Linked DNA regions of Nothobranchius furzeri. The protein of the gene in region 2 interacts with the protein of the main gene of each other region in a biochemical or structural test. Links are inferred from orthologs where the notes say so. Each region holds a gene or a part of one and is shown on either strand. Other genes may lie near its edges.

Region 1 (10,309 bases), on a different chromosome or scaffold from region 2:
AGAGCAGAACATGGAGAGGGTGATGAAGTAACACCAGAAGCCAGCTTGAACAGGTGAGTTTTCAGCTGCTTTTTAAAGGAGACCACTGAGTCCACTGATCTCAGGCTCAGGGGGAGAGAGTTCCAGAGTCTGGGGGCCACAGCAGCAGATGATCTGTCACCTTTGTGCGCCTCGTGATTTTTATCTTGAGAGGCGCTATAGAAATGATACTTTCTTCTTCTTCTTCTTTGGTCTTTAGCCTGGGTTAGGGTTCCCAGTCACCCAGGTTTTAGTAGAGTCTAAGCAGGTGTGTAACAGCTGCAGCTTAGACATCTCATGGGGCTTAAAGGAGATGTACAGTTGGATGTCATCTGCATAAAGATGGTAGGAGATTCATTTGAAGGAGCTCAGGATGTGCTGAAGAGGAAGCAGATAGAGGAGGAAGAGCAGAGGCCCCAACACAGAACCTTGTGGGACACCATGGGTAAGGGAGGTGGTGGAGGACCTAAACTTGGAGACGGCCACAGATAAGGAGCGCTCAGAGAGATAAGAGGAGAACCACTCCAGAGCAGATCCTGATAGGCCTACCCAGTCTCTCAGCCTCTCCAGTAGCAGGTGATGGTCAACAGTGTCAAAGGCTGCAGTCAGGTCCAGCAGGACCAGAACAGAACAGTCCCCTGCATCACTGTGGGTCAGAAGGTCACTAGAGACCCTAAGAAGAGCTGTTTCAGTAGAATGAGCTCTACGAAAACCTGACTGGAAGCTATCATAGATGTTATGTTCATCAAGAGCAGCTGTGAGTTGTTTAGCCACAACCTTTTCCAAGATCTTGGAGATGAACGGAAGTTTAGAGATGGGTCTGAAGCTGCTATGGAGAGAGGGGTCGAGACTCGGTTTTTTAAGAAGCGGGTGGATTACAGCGTTCTTAAAGTAAGCAGGGACCTGACCAGAGACCAGAGAAGCATTAATTATAGAGAGCACACTGGGACCGATGGACTGAAAAGCACTTTTAAACAAGGATGAGGGTGAGATGTGGAGGGGGCATGCAGAGGTCTTCATAGAGTTAACTAGTTTGGTTAACTCAGGCAAAGAAACAGGTGCAAAGCTATCTAGGATGATGGGCCTGGTTGGAGTCGGGAGAGGCGGCGATAAGGCTGAAGGAGAGATGCTAGATCTAACCTTATTGACTTTGTCCACAAAGAAAGACAGAAAGTTCTCACAGTCTGCAACAGAGTGGATGGAGGCTGTAGGTGCTATCAGCGAGAGGAGCTAGTCCTATATAAAAACCATATGATCATTCTGTACAAATATCAATGTGACACTTTACAGAAACTAAAAAAACATCCATGTAATGATGCTTGTAGTTTTTGCAGTGAAAAAGAAAACAATATAAAATCGTAAATATGGGTTCATAAAACCTACTAGTGCCAAACGCATCGGTTTACATTGTCTGCAACACCTTCCCGCTAAAAGGAAGTTTGTGTTTAAACAAAAAAAAAAAGATTTTTCTGCCAGGCTGGCTCTCTGACCTCTACCCTCTGAAGGACTCACATGCCAATTTCCTCAGTCTTCCAGCCACTGGAATTCTTTCCGAATTTGTATACAAGTCTTCTGCCGTCAACCCGCTCCAGAATCTCCCTCTTGTAGTAATACCTGTAGGTGGAGGAGCATCAGTTCATCACTCAGCGTACACACAAACCTCTTTTTCATTTCCAGCAGACTTTCTGAACAGCAGTCACTACAGTGTTGATAATATTCTGTAATTGTAACTAATCAAATACACTATCTGTGCCTTCATTTGAGGCTCAGGAGGAACTTTGAGTCAGACATCAGGTCTTGTTGCTTCACACCAGAGCTGCCCCTCCCAATAGACCAAATCTGCAAAACAACCAGTCAGACCGTCGCGATTACTGCGGTAGCAGACCCCAGTCAGACAACCGTAGCCACTGTGCGTGAAGCAGGCTTTTGAAGAAAAGCAGCAAGAAGTGGAAGTTGTTTGTTTAGCTAACATTTCTAGCAGGGGCGGCGTTAGGCCCGGCTACTTGGGCTGAAGCCCCGGATGTTTTCTGAAAAGCCCCGGATCTAAATCGCACAAGTAACATGCAGAGTTTTAAATTTCATTTTAATCGTCAAAAACTCCAGCGAACCCCCCCCCCCCCCCCCCGCTTCAGGTGTATGACGTCATCAACGACTAGTCGAAGTCGACTCAATTTTCATTACTTGACTGTCGACTTTAAAAAAAATTAAGTCATGCAACCCCTAGTGTGTGTGTGTGTGTGTGTGTGTGTGTGTGTGTGTGTGTGTGTGTGTGTGTGTGTGTGTGTGTTTTCAAACATTTAGCTTGAGCTCCAATTCAGGTAAAATCTGTAGCAGGTGAAGAAATGGTTTTGCAGGACAAACTCACCTCATGGCGCGGCTGAGCTTCTCGTAGGTCATGCTGCTGTTCTTCTTCTTCTGGCCCCACATTTGCGCCACGGCCTCAGACTTCAGGAACTTAAACACGCCCTCCTGACGATCTTCCCACTTCATTAGGCCCTGGTTCTTATCTGGGTGGATCAGAATGTCCCTGATAAACTCCCACAGGTGAGAGCCACGAGGTGCTGCAGGAGATGAATAACAGCATGTGTGCCACAACGCAAAGCTGAAGCAGAGGTGCAGACGCCTGACTGATGTTTACCGTGTTTACTTTTCTTTGCAGTGTCATACATGCTGCTGATGTGCTCCCTGTTGGCTTTCGGAGGTCGTCCTCGTGGACGCTTCACGCGGGATTCGCTTTCCTCTGTTTTGACGTGAACCTCTGTCAACACAACAGGAACATTTGAGTGAAGAACGGTCCATGCAAAAGAAGTTTCTCTTCTCACTCACTTGACATTCCAGCGTTTGAGAACTCTTGTTCTGATTCGCTGCTGCCAGACTCCGTTGAGCTCATAAAGGTGAACACGCCACCTGAAAATGAGACGTTTCATTTGAAACCAACAACAAGACTCCTGAGGAGGAAAAACATCAAAGACAACCAGATGATGAAATACTAACTGCTGCATTCGCTTTCAGACTGACTGTCAGACAGAGACTCGGGGCTCACAGACTCCGGCGGCAGACTGTAGTCGTTGTGGTATTCAAACTGTCTCCTCACTGCTTCATCAGCTGTGGAAGAAAGGGGTGAACTCTCCATAAGTTTTAACATATTAAATCAAGCACAGCCATTAAACCTTCAGTCTTCCATGCCTGCTCCTATTTTGATGGTGCTGAGCAAAGGGTATGTCAGGTTGTCCAAGAAGGTGTCCAGGAGCTGGCAGGTCTCACTTAGTTCTGGTCCTGACAGGCTCTGCAGCTCTGAGTCAGACAGGACAAACGGATTAGACAGACAGACAGACAGACAGACAGACAGACAGACAGACAGACAGACAGACAGACAGACAGACAGATAGATAGATAGATAGATAGACAGACAGACAGACAGACAGACAGACAGACAGACAGACAGACAGACAGACAGACAGACAGACAGATAGATAGACAGACAGACAGACAGACAGACAGACAGACAGACAGACAGACAGACAGACAGACAGACAGACAGACAGACAGATAGATAGATAGATAGACAGACAGACAGACAGACAGACAGACAGACAGACAGACAGACAGACAGACAGACAGACAGACAGACAGACAGACAGACAGACAGACAGATAGACAGACAGATAGATAGACAGATAGATAGACAGACAGATAGATAGATAGATAGATAGATAGATAGATAGATAGATAGATAGATAGATAGATAGATAGACAGATGATAGATAGATAGATAGATAGATAGATAGATAGATAGATAGATAGATAGATAGATAGATAGATAGATAGATAGATAGATAGATAGATAGATAGATAGATAGATAGATAGATAGATAGACAGACAGATGATAGATAGACAGACAGACAGATAGACAGACAGATGATAGATAGACAGACAGATAGATAGATGGACGGACGGACAGACAGACAGACAGACAGACAGACAGACAGATTACCATATTTAGTCTTGTATTCCTGTAAGCTCTGACTGAGGTGAGGCCCAATCTGTGGGCCGAAGATTGTGATCATTTGTTCCTGATCGAAGCAGCAGAGGGAGGGACCATCGATGGAGCAACAAGCCAGGCTCAGGGTGCTAGCATCAAACTTCATGCTCTCAACAAGGTCACTGATCCATTCTAGGACATGGGTTGGTGTCCAGCAGATTGGGTTGAGGTGCTTGTATGTGTGAGCTGAGGAGACGCAGTAACAACCCAGAACTCGTCACAAGTTCCCCTTTTATCAAGACCATAAAAGGGAACTACCAAACCACGGTTGTTCCCTTTTATGGTCTTGACCATCAAAGAACAATCTTCAATCCCAAACGTCTGTTGTTTCATGTATTCTTTTAATAGCAGAAACATGTTTTTATTCTTAACGTGAGAACCCTCCTCAGCAGAATGTGCTGTGAAGCTAGAAGCTGGTCTGAAGGTTGTAAGTGTGACAAAAACCTTCCTCTGCTTTGATGGTGGTGTTGAGTTAAACATTGACTCTGTGGCGAATCATTAAACTCTCATTGTCTGATTTAGGTCAGTGTGAGTTGGATCAAGATGATCTGTGTGTTGGAAACAGGTGTCCATGTTCACTGTGAGAGTAGAGCTGGTCCACAGCCTCTGCTTTGTGATAAAAGCTCCAGGACCAGAAACCAAACCCTCACTGACGGCAGACTCTCTCACCGTTTGAGTTGTAGCCAAACGCCAGGTTCCGGTTTTGCAGGTTGGTCTGCTGATGGAGGACATCCGGCAAGCCGGACTGATACATGGTGAAATTGGCGTGAGTCAGGATACTGCTGAGGCACGGTGAAGACATCTAGCCACTAATGGACACAAGAGACATCTTGTTTTGAAAATCAGTAGAAACACAAATTAAACTAACACAACCACCACAGATGTACCTATGATAGAAACGGACAAGAATTTACCTAGTTCCAGCACAAACCACGGTAGGATACGGACTGTCTGTCCTCTGTGTCTTAGTCGTCTCCTCTGCTGGTTCACCAGTTCCTGTTTTACACAAATATGCACCTGTTGTTGCATTTATCTGAAGGGGTTGGACTTCAGGGGAATTCCACCTGAACATGACCACACCTCCACCCCTCCTACACTTTCCAGAGAACCTGATAAAAAACAAAACCTGACCTGTTTCTCTCTCTCTGCCTGTTTTCCTCTTAGCCAAACATTTGGCATTATTAAAGATCAGATTATTATTCTTTACACTTACGTTTCAAGATCCGCGCTGCTTGGTGGGATGCCATCTCCACCAGAAATAACTGAAGTAAAAACTGTCCTTACTTCTTAAATCATTTAAGAATCTATTTGAATCCACTGAATATTTCTACACCTTTACCAACGTGGCTGATCTGTAGCTCTTTCGCCTGGCAGGATTTTTATAGAAAAGTGTGTGTGTGTGTGTGTGTGCACGTGCGTGCGTGTGTGTGTGCGCACGTGCGTGCGTGTGTGTGTACGTGCGTGCGTGCATGTGTGTGTGTACACTGATACTCTCACTAACAAGGACGTAGGCTGACATGAATAGTTTGGTTTTCACCGTGTCTAAAAATAGTTGGTATGTGACAACAGCCAACAGGAGATGTAGTTAGACCCGTGAACCACAAAAACAGAGAGATGATGGGATGATTGGTTTTTTTGTGGTTTCTCAAACACACACACACACACACACACACACACACACACACACACACACACACACACACACACACAAAGTAGTGTTTGTATGGTAACATTGTGATTTCTTAGTAAATATTCTGTTTAGTTATTAATTATATTATTTATTTACTATATAAATAGTAAATATTCTACTTGGTGAGAGATAAACTTTATTGTGATTATCCTAGTGGATCTATAATTAAACGGGTAAACTAGTAGTAGCACATCCAACGTCAAAGAGAGTAAAAAGTTATTATCAGGAGAGGGAGAATGTTTAAGTGGTTAGCAGCAGTGTGCTAGACGATGGCCCCCTCCATGAGGCCACCACAGCTCAGCAGAACATCGTTGTAGCTTCTTCTGGGGAGAAAAACACTTAGAGAGAAAATAAAGTTAAAAATGTTACTTACACTTTTACTACGTCTTACGTCTTGTGACATATTTCCTGTTACTTTTGGGCACAGCAGTCTCTACCATAGGCCACACATCGTGAACTGGCACATGCATGCTCCAGTACAAAGAATAGGAGAGCCTTTGGGCGCAGGGGTACAGCACCCATTAAGACGCACGCAGAAGTCAGCAGGGCAGAGTCTAGCTCAGGTCCGGACAGAACCGGAAACTCTCCACAGTTCATCGTCCTGTGCTGTTGTAGAGCAGCTGAGTTCACCTCGTGGAGTTTTGTTCTTATGAAGAACCAGAACATGATGGAATGTGGCATCAGAGACTTCTGAACTGTCCGGCACGTAAAAAAGTGAATGTTTTTACTATAACACAGATTGTTATAACCTTAAACCAGCAAAGGTTTAAGTCTGTTGTCTGATATAAACTTAAGAAATTTGTAAAATATAAGTTTATATCAGACAACAGGCTCAGCTATTTCAACTAGCTTTATAGAATTAACACCTTGTTTTTGTTATTGTTTTATTTACTCATTGATCTAATTTTAAATGCATTTTTTCTTTTATTCATTTATTTATTTACTATTATTATATATTTTTTCTTCTTAGTGAATTTTGATTCTAGTGTTTTTTTATGATATTTGTTTTATGAGGTTGATTATAGGTGTTTCTTGTGTTTTTCTTACATTGTACATGCAACAGTGTATTTTCAATCCTACACTGTATGTGTGTGTGTTTTCTTTTTCTTTTTGTTTCTTTTATCAGGTAAACCAGGAAGTTTTCACTATTGTGAGGACTAATGGGGATCCTTAAATAAACAAATAAACAAAAGGTAAGACTGAGTTAATGCTTTTAACTTCATGAAATTAGCTTTGTTGTTTTTATGTTGAATTTGCACATATTGGTGAATGATGGGCCAGGAAAGGTGGAGCAGAAAGGGAGAGGCTAAAAAAGTAAAGAAGAAAAGCTCTGGCACATTTGCATTCTGGCCTGTATGCGATCTTATTGGGAGAACCAGTGTTTGGACCAGTTGGGCCAGTGCCAGTAAATGTGGTGACAGGTAAATCGTGAAGTTGGAGAGATGGCATACAAACAAAATATAGATCGTGAACAAACACAAGAAATAAAATGTCAAAAGAGAAGTGTACTTCACTTGAAAGTGGGCATAGCACAGCATCTTTATTTATAAAATACTTTAAAATCAATACAAAGCTCGACCAAAGTGCTGACACTAAAATAAACATAAAAGATATCCACTACAATAACCGGTAAAAGAAGTTAAAAAGAGTAAAAACAATAAATACAAGATAAACAGAAATCCATCCCTCCTCTCCAGAACCCCTGAATAGACCTTACCAGGAAGGCTCAGGAGTGTGATCCCCCTGTAGTTGGAACACACCCAGCGGCCCCCTTTTTTAAATAAGGGGACCACCACCCCGGTCTGCCAGTCCAGTGGGACTGCCCCTGATGTCCACACGATATTGCAGAGCCGCGTCAGCCAACACAGCCCCACAACATCCAGAGCCTTAAGGAGCTCCGGCCGGATCTCATCCACCCCCAGGGCCTTGCCACAGAGGAGCTTTATAACCACCTCAGCGACCTCAGCACCAGCGATCTGAGAGCCCAACTCAAAGTCCCCAGACTCGACTTCCTAACCGCAAGTTGCTTGTAGAGTGCTAATGTTTTTAGCAGTTAGCTCAGTGTTGCAACGTGGAACTGCGGAGGATAAGGATTAAACAGTTGGAAGATTTTTTTTTACTTCATACCAAACGAGACCCGGTGTCTGTTGCCTTTAGTTGTGAATCAATAACCGAATTATCATTACTGTCCTGTTTGCCACTTTTGCTACCATACTGGGATTTAGCCTGAAACAATGGTGTTTGTTGTAAATGTTCCATATGCATACGCACGTACAGGGGCGCCGTAAAGCGGTGAAAGATTAGGAAGATTCTAAGGGCCCACAGCTGTCAGGGGCCCAAAACCGTTTCAAAGTTGAATAAAAAAAAATTAGTTTAAAAATCACAAGTACTTTACTTTGCAGTATTTTTCTCATTCAAGACATTAAACAAAAAATCTTTTAGTCTTTATGAAATGCATATTTATTCAGAGGTCCCTACTTTATTTTGACTAATTAATTTGAAACACAAAATAAAATGGTTCAGTCCACCTGGCCGAGGGGCGTGTAGCAGGCGAAGCCAGCTCACGCAGCAGTCAGACAGCAGAGTGCGCCAAGGCTGCAGTAAAACTATGTTTGCAAGAACAAAGTCTGGGTCGAAGAAAGGAGAAAGAGGACAGGCAGACAGTATGTCACACAGTTTTTCTCAAAGAAAGGTGGGTTTGGCTGAATGTATAAATTCAACGTGTTTGCTAGCTTCCACAGTGAGAGGAACTATGTTTCATCTAATTATGGTAAATGGGTTGTTGTCCATGTCCCTACTAGAATCAGCAGCTGGTGATGTGTCAGCAGGTGTCCCCTCACAACCCAATGAACCTCAAGAAGGTGAGCAATGTAGCATGTTAGCTAGCAGCCTCATTTAAGGGGGTCTGTGGGAATCACTTACGGCTCTCTTCTCTATCAGTACTATTACAAAGGAATATAAAAAGGCTATTTTTGGTGATGAACACATTGTTTTTGCACATAATGATAATTATAAATATCAGTCAGTAAAAATGTATAGATTGTTTTGGATGCTGGGCAGGTTGAAGCATTGTTATTTAGTCTGGTAATGTAACATAAATTACTGTGAAGCACCTTTTTGAAGGGACCATACAAGAAAAAAAACCTCTTCATCTACTAAATACCTTGAAATGAAATGGTTTGAATCTGACTGAATTATGGGAGGTTTTACAAGATGTAATTTGTTTTTGTAGCTTTTAGAACACAAACCAAAAATCAGTAATTTCCAAATAATTCATCAGAGAGCAAAACCGAAACAAAAGCTGTTAATAATTGTAATAAGTAAACGTAATATAACATTGAACACAATAAAATATGAAATGTAGTATTGATGAGGGAGAACTACAGCTAATATCCTGCAGGAGTCTGTGCTGCATTTTCCCTGTTGTGCATTAATTTTAAAGACTGTTGTAAGTCAGATAAAGATTTTGTCACAAATGATAGCCTATATTGTAACACATATATCAATTTCATTATGTACAGAGCCTGGACCGTCCCATTGTCAGGTTTGGTCAGGAACAAAGAGTGGAAGTTAAGGAAGAAGGGAGAGAGTGTGACAGCTCAGAAGATGGAGAGACCCAAAGTCAGCTGAATAAACGTGATAGGGATTCCACCAAAGCAGTGTTTGAATCCATGACCCACGTTTGTGGCCACTAAATTTAAAGGACAATTAAATAGAGAGTATTGTAAGAAATTAGAAACAACCAATTGAAACACGCAACAACAAATTCACTAAACACAAAACCAAATTGAAAAGCAAAAAACAAACCGGAAAAGGTAGGTACTAGTGCTGCAACAACAGGCATCACTGATTGGATGATGGATCCGTTGGCCTTTTGAACCGGAAGTTGTTCTGCCGAACGTGGTTATGTGAAAGAGCAGTCAGCGGGTGTGTCCGAATCCACAGGCAGGATGCTTACGAGTACAGGTCCTCGCCGGTCTGGCAAGGACCTGGCCTTGCCAGACCGCTAAAACCAGAACCCAGCGGCTCTGAATTCGGACAGTCTAGCCTTCACCTCTACGGTGGCCCGTAGGTCCCGTCACAGCCGCGGCGGCATCTACACGCAAAGGAAAAATGCTAAAGCTAGTGAAAATCGAGCAGGAATTTTACAGCAGGACCGAGCGCAATTTGTAAGTAAGTAAGTAAGTAAGTAAACGTTTATTTATATAGCGCCTTTCACAGATATAAATCACAAAGCGCTGTACAACATGATAAAGATCAGGACAAATACCTCTAAACAATAAAAACATCAGAAAAACAATAGCAGTGATAAAATAGAAAATAAAATCATGAGTATAAACAAAGTGAAGGTGTGAACCCGAACAAAGCCATCTTTTTGAACATTTAGGGAAGGAACGCCTGGATGAAAAGGTGAGTTTTTAGATGATTTTTAAAAACCTCTACAGTGTTAGAGAGACGGAGATTTGAAGGTAGACTGTTCCAAAGTCTGGGTGCAATAGTCTGAAAGGCCCTGTCCCCTTTGGTTTTCAGTCTGGTTCGAGGAACAGCCAGGAGGTTT
Region 2 (10,126 bases):
ATGGCTTCACTGTAACTTGTCATTTCTGTTCACCTAATATTTTAGTTTTATGATGATTTCCATTCATATATTTTACTTTTCATCTACCTCACAGTCTTTTCCTGGTGAAAGAAGAGAAGAAAATAAAATCTGTTTTCCAATCCATTGCATTTTTTTGTGTGGTAGAAGTATCGGTATTGGTAATCGTATCGGTGAGTACTCAGATATCGTATCGGTTTGGAAAAAAGTGGTATTGTTGCATCCCTAACTATAGGAGAAAACATTCCACTATTAAATAATCTCATTTAATTCTAATTAGACATCATCTTAAAAATATAATGATACAAATCTAAAAGTATACGTATATATTTCATCAATAAATGAACAAAATTTAGACATTTTCTCATCCAGACATCAGAGAGGATACTTTGCTTAAATTGAAGACAAAGCAAACTACATATTTTCTAAACTGGGGAAATAAATGGATATGAATGCATATTTCTGTTCACTTAATCAGGCCTTTTAAGGTATTTCTGATCTTGGTTTGTGTAAAAACAGACATGCTAAATAATTTTTTTAAGTTGCATTTAGCATCAATATCGGTATCGGCTGATGTTAATCATTCTTTAAAATATCGGTCCAATAAATAAAATCAGGCCGATATTAACAACCGATATTTTTTCCATCTTGTCTCCATTTGTTTGCCTGTTTCAGAGGTTGAGAAGGTGATGTGTATTTCTTTAGTCATGTGACAGTGATTGTAATCATCTCTGAAGTGTATGTGTGTGTGGTGTGTGCACATTTTAATGTAAATTCAGCTTTAATAATGTTCATTTTACACAAAATCTGCTGATTTTAGAATCATTAATGTCAGTATATCGGTATCGGCAAATATCGGTTATCGGTCAAAACAGTGATCTTAATATCGGATATTGGTCTAAAAATTTCATGTTGGTGCATCACTTATTTAAACACAATTCACTGGTCACCTTAGCCTGAATGAGGCCAAATAAAAGAATTAAATAATGAATTCAACAAACAAACCACAACAGGAATATATTTGAAATGAAAAAAAAAAACCTAAATGCATGACATAACAACAATAATCATGTTTACTGAAACTTACAAGATCAATTTTCATGCACATAAAAACGCATTTAAGCTCTGAATCAGCACCTTCCTATGGGGGTTGAACAAGTGAGAATGTGTTTGTTTTGTTTTACAATGTAAACACTGTCAAACTGACGCTTTTCTTATCTTGATTAATGGATTTATTTTTGTACTTTACTTCCCTCAGCTTGTTAAATAACACGACCTCCCCGCCTCGTTCTCAGACGAGCACTAGAGGAGGGGATGAGTTCACACGGCTCTCGTTGAGGCAAAAATAAAGAGAAAATGACATAAACACAAAAAGCCAATAGGATAAAAAAGGTTGAAGGTTATTCACCAAGTGATTTATTATAAATAATAATTTAACATGTGTAAAATATATTAATGTTTATGGCACCACAGAAATGGAGAATTTAGTATTTTGTATTTGACAAATGTAAATAACGTGCATTCTAGTTTATTTACCAGTAATTCTACATCTTTAAAAATCCTGTTGGCTTTAGTGTCGAGGCGGAATGAGTCAAAACTCTTTGGAAATGGAAAACAAGCTAATGAAAGCAACACAGATAACTAAAAAGTGTTTGAAACAACAACAGTCCCCATTTAGGAGATTGTTTGATATTTTATACTTCCCTGTCGTCTTTTGCCGTTGTTCCTCTTATTGAATTTCTTTTATTTCTCATATTTTTTACACGTGTTTGTTTGAAGGCCGTTTACGATTACATTTATTCACGTAGATGGATTTTTTATTGCAAAACTAATAAATGATATGAACGTTGGGTGTGTGTCTTACCACAGATGGAGTTAATTCTTGCAGTAGGTCTAAAACTGTCCACGAAGTCTGAGATCAAACTGCCTAAAAGCTACAGAAACATACTGACTATTAAGATATGATTTTAAAAATGCAATGAGAGGAAAATAAAATAAAGAGATCTACTCACCCAGTGTGAGAGTTGTCCCTCTGGATAAAGTTTTCTGATTTCTGTAACAGCGAAATATGCAGGCAAGAGGCAGGCGTTTCTGTCAAGGATATATTCAACCACCTGGAATATGAAACAAATGTAAACATGTTAATAAAACTGGCATTTTTAGTCATATTTACACAAAATGTCTTTTAACTCATTCACTGCCAATTTGCATTTTTTTTTACTGTTTGAGCATCGGAACGAGCCCCCGCGCTGAGAGAACAAACATCTCAGCCCTGAAGCCGATCTTCATCCACATACGTCACAGATCACATGATCAGGAAGCAACACATCCATGTGTTAGGAGATTGTTTTGGGGCGTTCCTGTAAAAAAAAGTGAGGCGCGAACCGGAAAAGCGTCTGCCGATCACAATTCGACAACGGATTATGAAAGAACGGATGACGCTCTAAACACACGGATTCTTCCTGATGTAAGAGGTGAGTCTCCTCTTTGTTTAGGTTGTTTTGGCATCGACATCATGCTAGCGTGAAACGTTCTGTGACTGTTAAAAAACAGTAAAAACGGCGAGAAACGCTGGCAGCGAAGGCCGTTAGCGATCAGGAAACGGCTGGCAGTGAATGAGTTAAACATAACTACTGAAGATGTAAACAGAAAGGAGGGCACCTCTCTAGCAGCAAGAAGCTGCTGGACTATGGCAGAACTGACAGTCGTAGGGATGGATTGTATTTTATCCAGTACAGCTTTCAGCAGATCACGAACCCCCTAAAACACAGATCAAAGCAAAGGTGTCGATTTAGAATTTTTATTTACTGATATTGTCCTTCATAAACTTCAAAAATTAGTATTCAAACCTCTTTTAAAGTACGAAAACCTTCAGCAGAGTTACAAGGCACATCTGCTACTGACCACAACAAATAAACAAGAACAACATTTTCCTGCACAGCATATTCATTAAGAAGGCATTTTTTTTAAACTGCATCTGGCGTTGAGTGTCAGAAACCTTGTAGTCCACGCCACCGATTATCTTGTGGATCAGTTTGAAAGTTAAGGCCCACAGCTGCGTCTTTTCCCACTGAAAACTCTTCGAGGTTATCAAAGCAACACACACCATCCTAAAAACAAAACAGCCTCTCTTAGATGCATGTTTAATACATTTAAAATACACTGATGTGCATGTGCTTAATCAGCTTTAACAACAGTAACATGAAAGTCACCAAATACGAAATAACATAAAAAAAATCTAATTTAGTTTACTGTATTCCTCAGGAAAAAGAACAGACAGTAATTCTGCAGTCACATCAAAAATATCACTGGAGTAATTATGACGTATTTTCGTCTAAATGAAGGCATAAGATGCAATGTGCCCTGGATGAGTGTGAGTATGAACCTTGGTGGCAACAAACTGGTCTCCACTGCCATCGCTAAACAGTCGTACAGGAATGAGATTCTTTTGGGACTGTGCTGACTGTGTATGAAATGCACAATCCATTGCACACACTTCTCATGGGAGTCCTGGTGGAATGACAGAAGTGAAATAAATTTTAATTATTTATTTTTACAAAAACGACAGATTAATTATCAGTACAAATGTAGAACCTGCGGCAGGGTTCCCATGTATTGTCTAAATGCTCCAAGACAGCTGATCAGTTTAGTCCTCTCATCCTCTGGAGTGTCCATGAACATCCTAAAAACAGCATTTATGTTTACTACCCCATTTTAACGGCAAATAAAAGCACAAAAAAACTCTAAGCCGAGCCCTCTTGTCCAGTTTTTATATAATTAATAAGTGTGAAAATGAATTTTGAGCCACCTCACCCTGCAAAAGCCTCCTCTATCAGCTCAGTTTTCTGTAAACAGAGGAAAATATGATTGCTGATTTACTAACACCAACAAAGTTAGAAAAACACATAAATGTCCAATTTAGACAATTAAAATAAAACTAAAACAGTTTTACATTCACATATATTTCCCCATTAATCTTCTGAATTACTGCATTTATGATTTAGATCAATAATTTGAAAGTGTATGCTAAATTCAGTAAGTGTCAGTGAATAGGCTAACACTCTTTGAGATGCTAATAAACGTTAGCTAAATTGTTAACCGGTTTAAGAAATTGCAACTTACCACAACGTCTTCAAAGATGCTCTGCAGCTGCGTCTCCATGGAAAGCGCCATCTCTGCGATATGAAACGTGTATTTTTATCCAAACATCACAGGGAACCTAACACAGAGCTGCCAGCAAGCTAGATGCTAACAGCAACAAATTCCGCCATGAGACATGAGACACGCGACCGACCACGAAAACGTTCCGGGTATGCATCGAAGCACGAGACAAAGATTCCGCCTCACTTAGTCTTTTGGCTCTTATGAATCGTCATAAAAGTCTATTAATTAAATTATTATTGTTAAATTATTATAGTCTATTTCTCTTTAAGTTTTATTAATGAGTGAAACACAAACTTTCAACTGAAGAGATGTAAATATTGGTGACTAGATGTATGTGTCAAGATGTGTTTCTGTTTTCTTTGTCACTTTACGTCTTTCAGACAGATAAGATATTCTAGATCTGAGTGAATAAACTTTGATGTTCTTCCAGGTCTAATATAAATCTTTTGGACACAGCAAAGATGGTTTTATCATCTCTTTAGCTAGTTAATAATTATCCCATTGTACAATTGCATCATGATACACAGTAAGTCACTGAGGAAATAAAAGAAGGGGAAACTAAACAAAAATACAGAAAAGGGAGAGGCACAATGTGAAAACCGTCAAATCACTGCTTTTGCAATCAAGTAAATGTCACAAAAACTGTTTGAAAATGTGAAAATATAAATTCATATTATTAACCATTATAAAAAAGAACATGAAAAACTTAAAGGCAGACGCTAGAGGCGCGTGAAGAACCATTCCACATAACTACCTGCTCAGGTGTATGTGCTCCGACCAGTGAGATCACATTCCTTCCTAAACACGGAAACCAGGCATCATTTTTGTGGCTTTACAGGTTTAATCGTGGCAGTCCGCGTTCCCTCCAACTTAAGACACTTTTATCTTCTTGTGTTTTTAATCTGATTGCGTTTAAACCCGAGGAGAAACAGGAGAGGATCAACGGGTGAGAAACCGCAGATTTCTCATTAAAATGGTCGATCCACACCGACATGTGGACTGAGATCGTCTTGATCGGATTTGTGGTTCTGCGGACCGCAGGTGAGACTGTTAAACTATTAACGCGAGAAAAAAAGGTTTTATGAAAAAAATAATAATCTTGCCTTGCTTTGTTGTTGCTAAACATGCGAGAAGTGTGTTTCATTTAAAGTAGGCTACAATCCAGTCAGTAAAACATCAAATTAATGAACAAAACAGAAAACTTCATGTTTACGCAAATTACCACAGAACTCTGAGATCACAAGGAATTTTAATTAGTCATTCAAAACGCTAGAAAACACCAGAAAGAGGTCGAATATATTACTAAAATGAAATTTATTTAATGCAGCAATTTTCTCTCCGATTCTGTCTCTTTGGTAAATGGTACATGGATTTGTAGCACCTTCTTAGGGTTTAACAACCCCCCAAGGCGCTTCACAATCATCAGTCATCCCCCCCACACACACACACATGGACGTAATTTTCACTTTAGAAGTGGGGGGGACACAAGGGGGGGGGGGTCTTTACAGTATGTTCTAATGGGAAACAGGCTTCAACACAAACGGTTGTTTTCTGCCTGGTCCTAGACCTCAACGAGTGTCAATTTAATATAGCGTAATATTGTTTTTGGATGGTAAAAAGTGCAGGGGTCCAAACTTGACTTTGGAAAAAATGGGGGGGACATGTCCCCCCGCCCCCCCCAAAAATTACGTCCATGCACACACACACACACACCCTGGAGCGCACGGACTGAGGCGAGGTCTGCCCATCTGCCATACAGTGGCGCCACCGGTCCCTCCGACCACCACAGCCGGAAAGACCGGTAGTGTCTTGCCTAAGGACACAAGAGCAGCATTCTCTGGCAACAGCACCTGACCCTTCTCTTCTCTGGTGGGAGCCGGAATCAAACCTGCAACCATCCGATTACTGGGCAACCCACCTAACCTCCTGAGCTATAGTTTATGAACTCGAGAGAATGCTCGAATGCATTGCAACCCAAAAAATAAATTATATATATATATATATTTATATATATTTATATATTTGCACATATATATATATTTGCACAAAGTTTCCAAACATTTCAATTAATTTAGTATAAAATTTCAAGTGAGTAGTTTTGAGTTTTAAGTTGTTTCATGTGACCCAGTCTGGTTTCATGATAATAATGGGTGCTTAGCTGTCAGCCAGTATAGGTTTACACCGTAGTTCCTGTAATGCACGTTTCATAAAGATCGTGTTGTTTCCTTTCAAGTAAACAGAGATGCAATTACTCCACTCCATTCAAGTACATTTTATTGTGATTGGGGCAGCAGTAGCTTAGGAGGAATCGGAAGGTTGTAAGCAAGGCAGCTTCATTTATGTAGCACATTTCAAACATGGGGCAATTCAGTGCGCTTTACAATTAGCATGAAACAGCACAACAAAAACAAACATGAGAACACAAATTAAGGTATACACAAATAAAATTATGATTTAGAGCTAAAGGGAAAAGACAGAATTAAGGTTGAGCAATTACACCAGGTTCAGTCCCACTGAAGGATTCTGCTGTTCTGTCCTTGGGCAAGAAACTTAACCCACCTTGCCTGGTGCTGGTCAGAGGGACTGATGGTGCCGGTGTATAGCAGGCATCGCCTCTGTCAGTGCGCTCCCAGGGCAGCTGTGGCTACATGGTAGCTCACCAGTGTGTGAATAGGTGAATGACTGATCATATTGTAAAGCGCCTTGGAGGATTCCAGGACTCTGTAAGGCGCTACATCAAGTACAGGCCATTTACCATGTGTTGTGACGTGCCTTGGGGGGTTGTAAAGCCCTACAAGGTGCTACACAAATACAGGCCATTTACCATTACCAGGAAAATCTCACAAATATGCATGAAGGAAATTGTTAGCGGTTTGGCTCCTAAAACACTGAATCTGATCTAAACACAAAGAAAGCCTTCACTTAAAGCAGTGTTTATGTTTCTAAATGTCCACTCTTTCATTCCTTTCTTTGCTTCAGCCTCAGCCCGTCTGCCCATCCCCACTGGTGTTCACTTCTCCTCTGTGAATCTAAGGACCGTGCTGCACTGGTCTCCAGGGCATGGTTCACCAGAAGACACACGCTTTACAGTGGAATATGCCATGTGAGTCTATTTGATGCTAATGACGAATGTGTACTTAAGCTACCCTGACAAGTAACTTGGTCATGAAATGATGGTCATTTTCAGCCCGAGTGGATCTGCTCTGTGTTTTGCAGCTATGGTGAAACCACCAACAAAAGAAAAGGAATACTCTGGAGACCAGTGAGGCAGTGCATGGATATAGGCGGGACTTGGTGTGATCTGAGCGCTCAGATGCAGGATCTGGAACAGGCATATTATGCCAGAGTTCGTGCCTTGCGAAGAAAATCATCTTCAAAGTGGGCTGAGACGCAGAGATACGATCTAAAGACAGAAAGTAAGAATAAATAAGTAGGCGGAGCCTTTATCTTCACTTATAGAATATTTTGTTTGGGGAAGATTTGATTTGGAGTGTTTTAGTAAAAAAAAAAAGTGCTAAAACAATGTACCTTGTCTGTCCACGTAGCTGTTTTTGGCCCCCCGTCAGTTACCGTGGAAATAGAGAACAACAGTGCAACCGTCACTTTGGTGGGACCCATGAGGTATTCACCAACCAACCACTCACTAGCCGTCTCCATGAACTCAATCTACCCTCACACATCTTATAACCTCTTCATCCACAACACCTACCTCGACAAGATGGTGAGTAAAGTTCATTGGTTATGTTTGCTGAACACTTGAAGCACAAACCACATACATACGATGTATGTACTATGTACTTTCACAGCATCATATCCCAGTCTCCGCCAGCCCGTACAAATATCAGCTGATGGCGTACAATACAAAATACTGCTTCTCTGCCAAGTCGAGGTTCGTCTCCATAGAAATGCGAAGCGAGTCTTCACCTTGGCACTGCCTCACTACGCCTAAAGGTACAACCGTGTGACTTCCTGTTAATGAGAATGTTTTGTTTTGAGGATGGTAGAAAGAAATGTGACCGAACAGCGAACAAAAACCAAAGAGAAGCAAATGCTAGACTTGTTTATCCACAAGTCGCATCTAGATTGGTAGAATTTTTTTACCTAACGATTATGCCTTTGTTGTATGTAATGATCACATATAAGATTTTTGTTCAAATTTAAGTAAAAGCGTTCACACGGGTATTGTAAGAGCTTGAGTGATTTGTCTGTGATCGTGAAAGGGCCTTTCCTATTCATACCAATGGTTTTGCGACAGGTTGACTGGGTAGCCTTTGAACGGTAATGTAAAAGTTTTATGCAAAGATGTTACACAACGTGTAGTTCTCTGGATGGCTGTCAGCAAGTATGACTCCAAAGTTTAGCTCAGTATCTGTAAAGTTGGCCTAGTTCCAGCCAGGTTGGTGCTTGAGTCGGCTGGATGCAGCAGCCATTTTGGACTACATATTTTCACAGAAAAAACAAACAGAAATGCAAGCTAAAGGTGATTGTCCACTTTTGTTCCTGTTTGCAACAGCAATAAATATCGAATGTTGAATAGAGCCCAAGTCTCCTCCCCTTCCGTTTGGCCCATGTCTCTGTATCACAGGCTGACGTTTGGTCGCCTGTTTGACAAGGTCCCGGCGTTCCTGCTGTCCCTGTACTGTTCTAATCTCCCACTTGAAGCTCTTGCTGGGCTGATGGCTCCGACCAGTTTTGAAGTATCGGTATTAGAGCTGGGCTTCTCTCCTCCCATCCTTGTTTTACTTTGTTACAGGCCACCAAGATACAATAAGGATTTTAAAAATGAATTCTCCAATCTTTTAGCTGATGTGCTTCCAAAAGACGAACGGGGGATTATTTTGGGGGGATTTTAATATCCACGTCTGCTGCCCTCTGAAACCACTGGTGAGGGACTTTATCAAAGTTTTAGACTCATATGGACTACAAATCTATTTCCCTCTGGGATTAATAAAGTATTTTTGAATTTGAATTGAATTGAATTAAAGCAATTGGTAAATGTTCCCACTCATGCTGACTCTCACATCCTAGATTTGGTTTTATCTTTTGGACTGGATGTGTAGGATTTATCTGTGGATCCTGTGGCATTTTCCGACCATGCTGTGATCCCGTTCAGCATCTCATACCTCCTTCCTCCAGCCCGGTGACAGTCTGCTCGTTACTCCAGGCGCTTATCTCCAAGTACGACTTCCAACTTTCTGTCTGTTTTGGACACTGATGCCCTGGCTCCGCCCCTGTCAGTTTCCTGCATGGATGTAGATGGCCTTCTGCATCGGTTCAGTGTGACCTGCTCTGCTGCTCCGGACGCTGTTGGCCCTCTGAGACCGAAGTGGAAACAGACCCCGACCCCTGGCTGAATGATTACACCCGTAGCCTCAGGCGACAGTGTAGGGTACTGGAGCGGAGGTGGAAGAGAGACAGACTGTCATGCTCTCGGCTGCTCCTGGTTGATGCACTTTCCCGCTACCAGAGAGCAGTTAGATCTGCTCGTAACACCTTCTTTTCTGCTATCATTTCACAGCATCGCGGAGACCAGTCTAGGCTGTACAGCACAATTCACTCCTTACTGCTAACCCACAGAATTAAAAGCCAGATCATAAAAGTAGGTTTTCAGCCTCATTTTAAAAACTGCTACTGATGGAGAGCCCCGCATAGTTAGGTGCAGTGCGTTCCACAGTTTCGGACCCGCAACAGAGAATTCCCTGTCCCCCCTTAACTTTAACCTAGCCTTAGGAGCCACAAGCAGCAGCTGGTTCTCAGAGCGGAGTGACCGGGCCGGAGCATACGGCTACAGCAACTCCGCCAAATAGGCTAGGGCCACTCCATTCAGCGCCTTAAACACCATTGAAAGAGGTTTAAAAGGAATTCTAAAATCAACAGGTAACTAGTGGAGAGCAGCCAAAATTGGTGTCACGTGTCCATGCTTTCTTTTGCAGTCCAAGAATCT

Evidence for each region.
Region 1: the proteins of med23 (region 2) and elf3 form a complex in vitro, tested with the Homo sapiens proteins (4 studies listed by BioGRID, with this or other methods). The link is inferred for Nothobranchius furzeri from reciprocal best matches to the Homo sapiens genes MED23 and ELF3.

What each region holds. Positions count from the first base shown.
Region 1 is NC_091743.1:3,097,538-3,107,846, forward strand, and holds the start of elf3 (ETS-related transcription factor Elf-3), read right to left. Parts: upstream 5,063-10,309; 5' UTR 4,976-5,062; intron 4,871-4,975; 5' UTR 4,864-4,870; coding exon 4,731-4,863; intron 4,248-4,730; coding exon 4,014-4,247; intron 3,313-4,013; coding exon 3,205-3,312; intron 3,124-3,204; coding exon 3,013-3,123; intron 2,926-3,012; coding exon 2,845-2,925; intron 2,777-2,844; coding exon 2,657-2,776; intron 2,580-2,656; coding exon 2,384-2,579; intron 1,633-2,383; coding exon 1,527-1,632; 3' UTR 1-1,526. UniProt on the Homo sapiens protein: Transcriptional activator that binds and transactivates ETS sequences containing the consensus nucleotide core sequence GGA[AT]. Acts synergistically with POU2F3 to transactivate the SPRR2A promoter and with RUNX1 to transactivate the ANGPT1 promoter.
Region 2 is NC_091742.1:26,113,421-26,123,546, reverse strand, and holds the start of med23 (mediator of RNA polymerase II transcription subunit 23), read right to left. Parts: upstream 5,020-10,126; 5' UTR 4,937-5,019; intron 4,328-4,936; exon of another isoform or gene 4,194-4,327; 5' UTR 4,192-4,193; coding exon 4,141-4,191; intron 3,864-4,140; coding exon 3,832-3,863; intron 3,701-3,831; coding exon 3,613-3,700; intron 3,529-3,612; coding exon 3,404-3,528; intron 3,129-3,403; coding exon 3,017-3,128; intron 2,779-3,016; coding exon 2,680-2,778; intron 2,133-2,679; coding exon 2,031-2,132; intron 1,953-2,030; coding exon 1,883-1,952; intron 1-1,882. Other genes in the region: il20ra (interleukin-20 receptor subunit alpha), read left to right, coding at 5,175-5,223, 7,162-7,285, 7,399-7,598, 7,728-7,903, 7,989-8,133. UniProt on the Homo sapiens protein: Required for transcriptional activation subsequent to the assembly of the pre-initiation complex. Component of the Mediator complex, a coactivator involved in the regulated transcription of nearly all RNA polymerase II-dependent genes.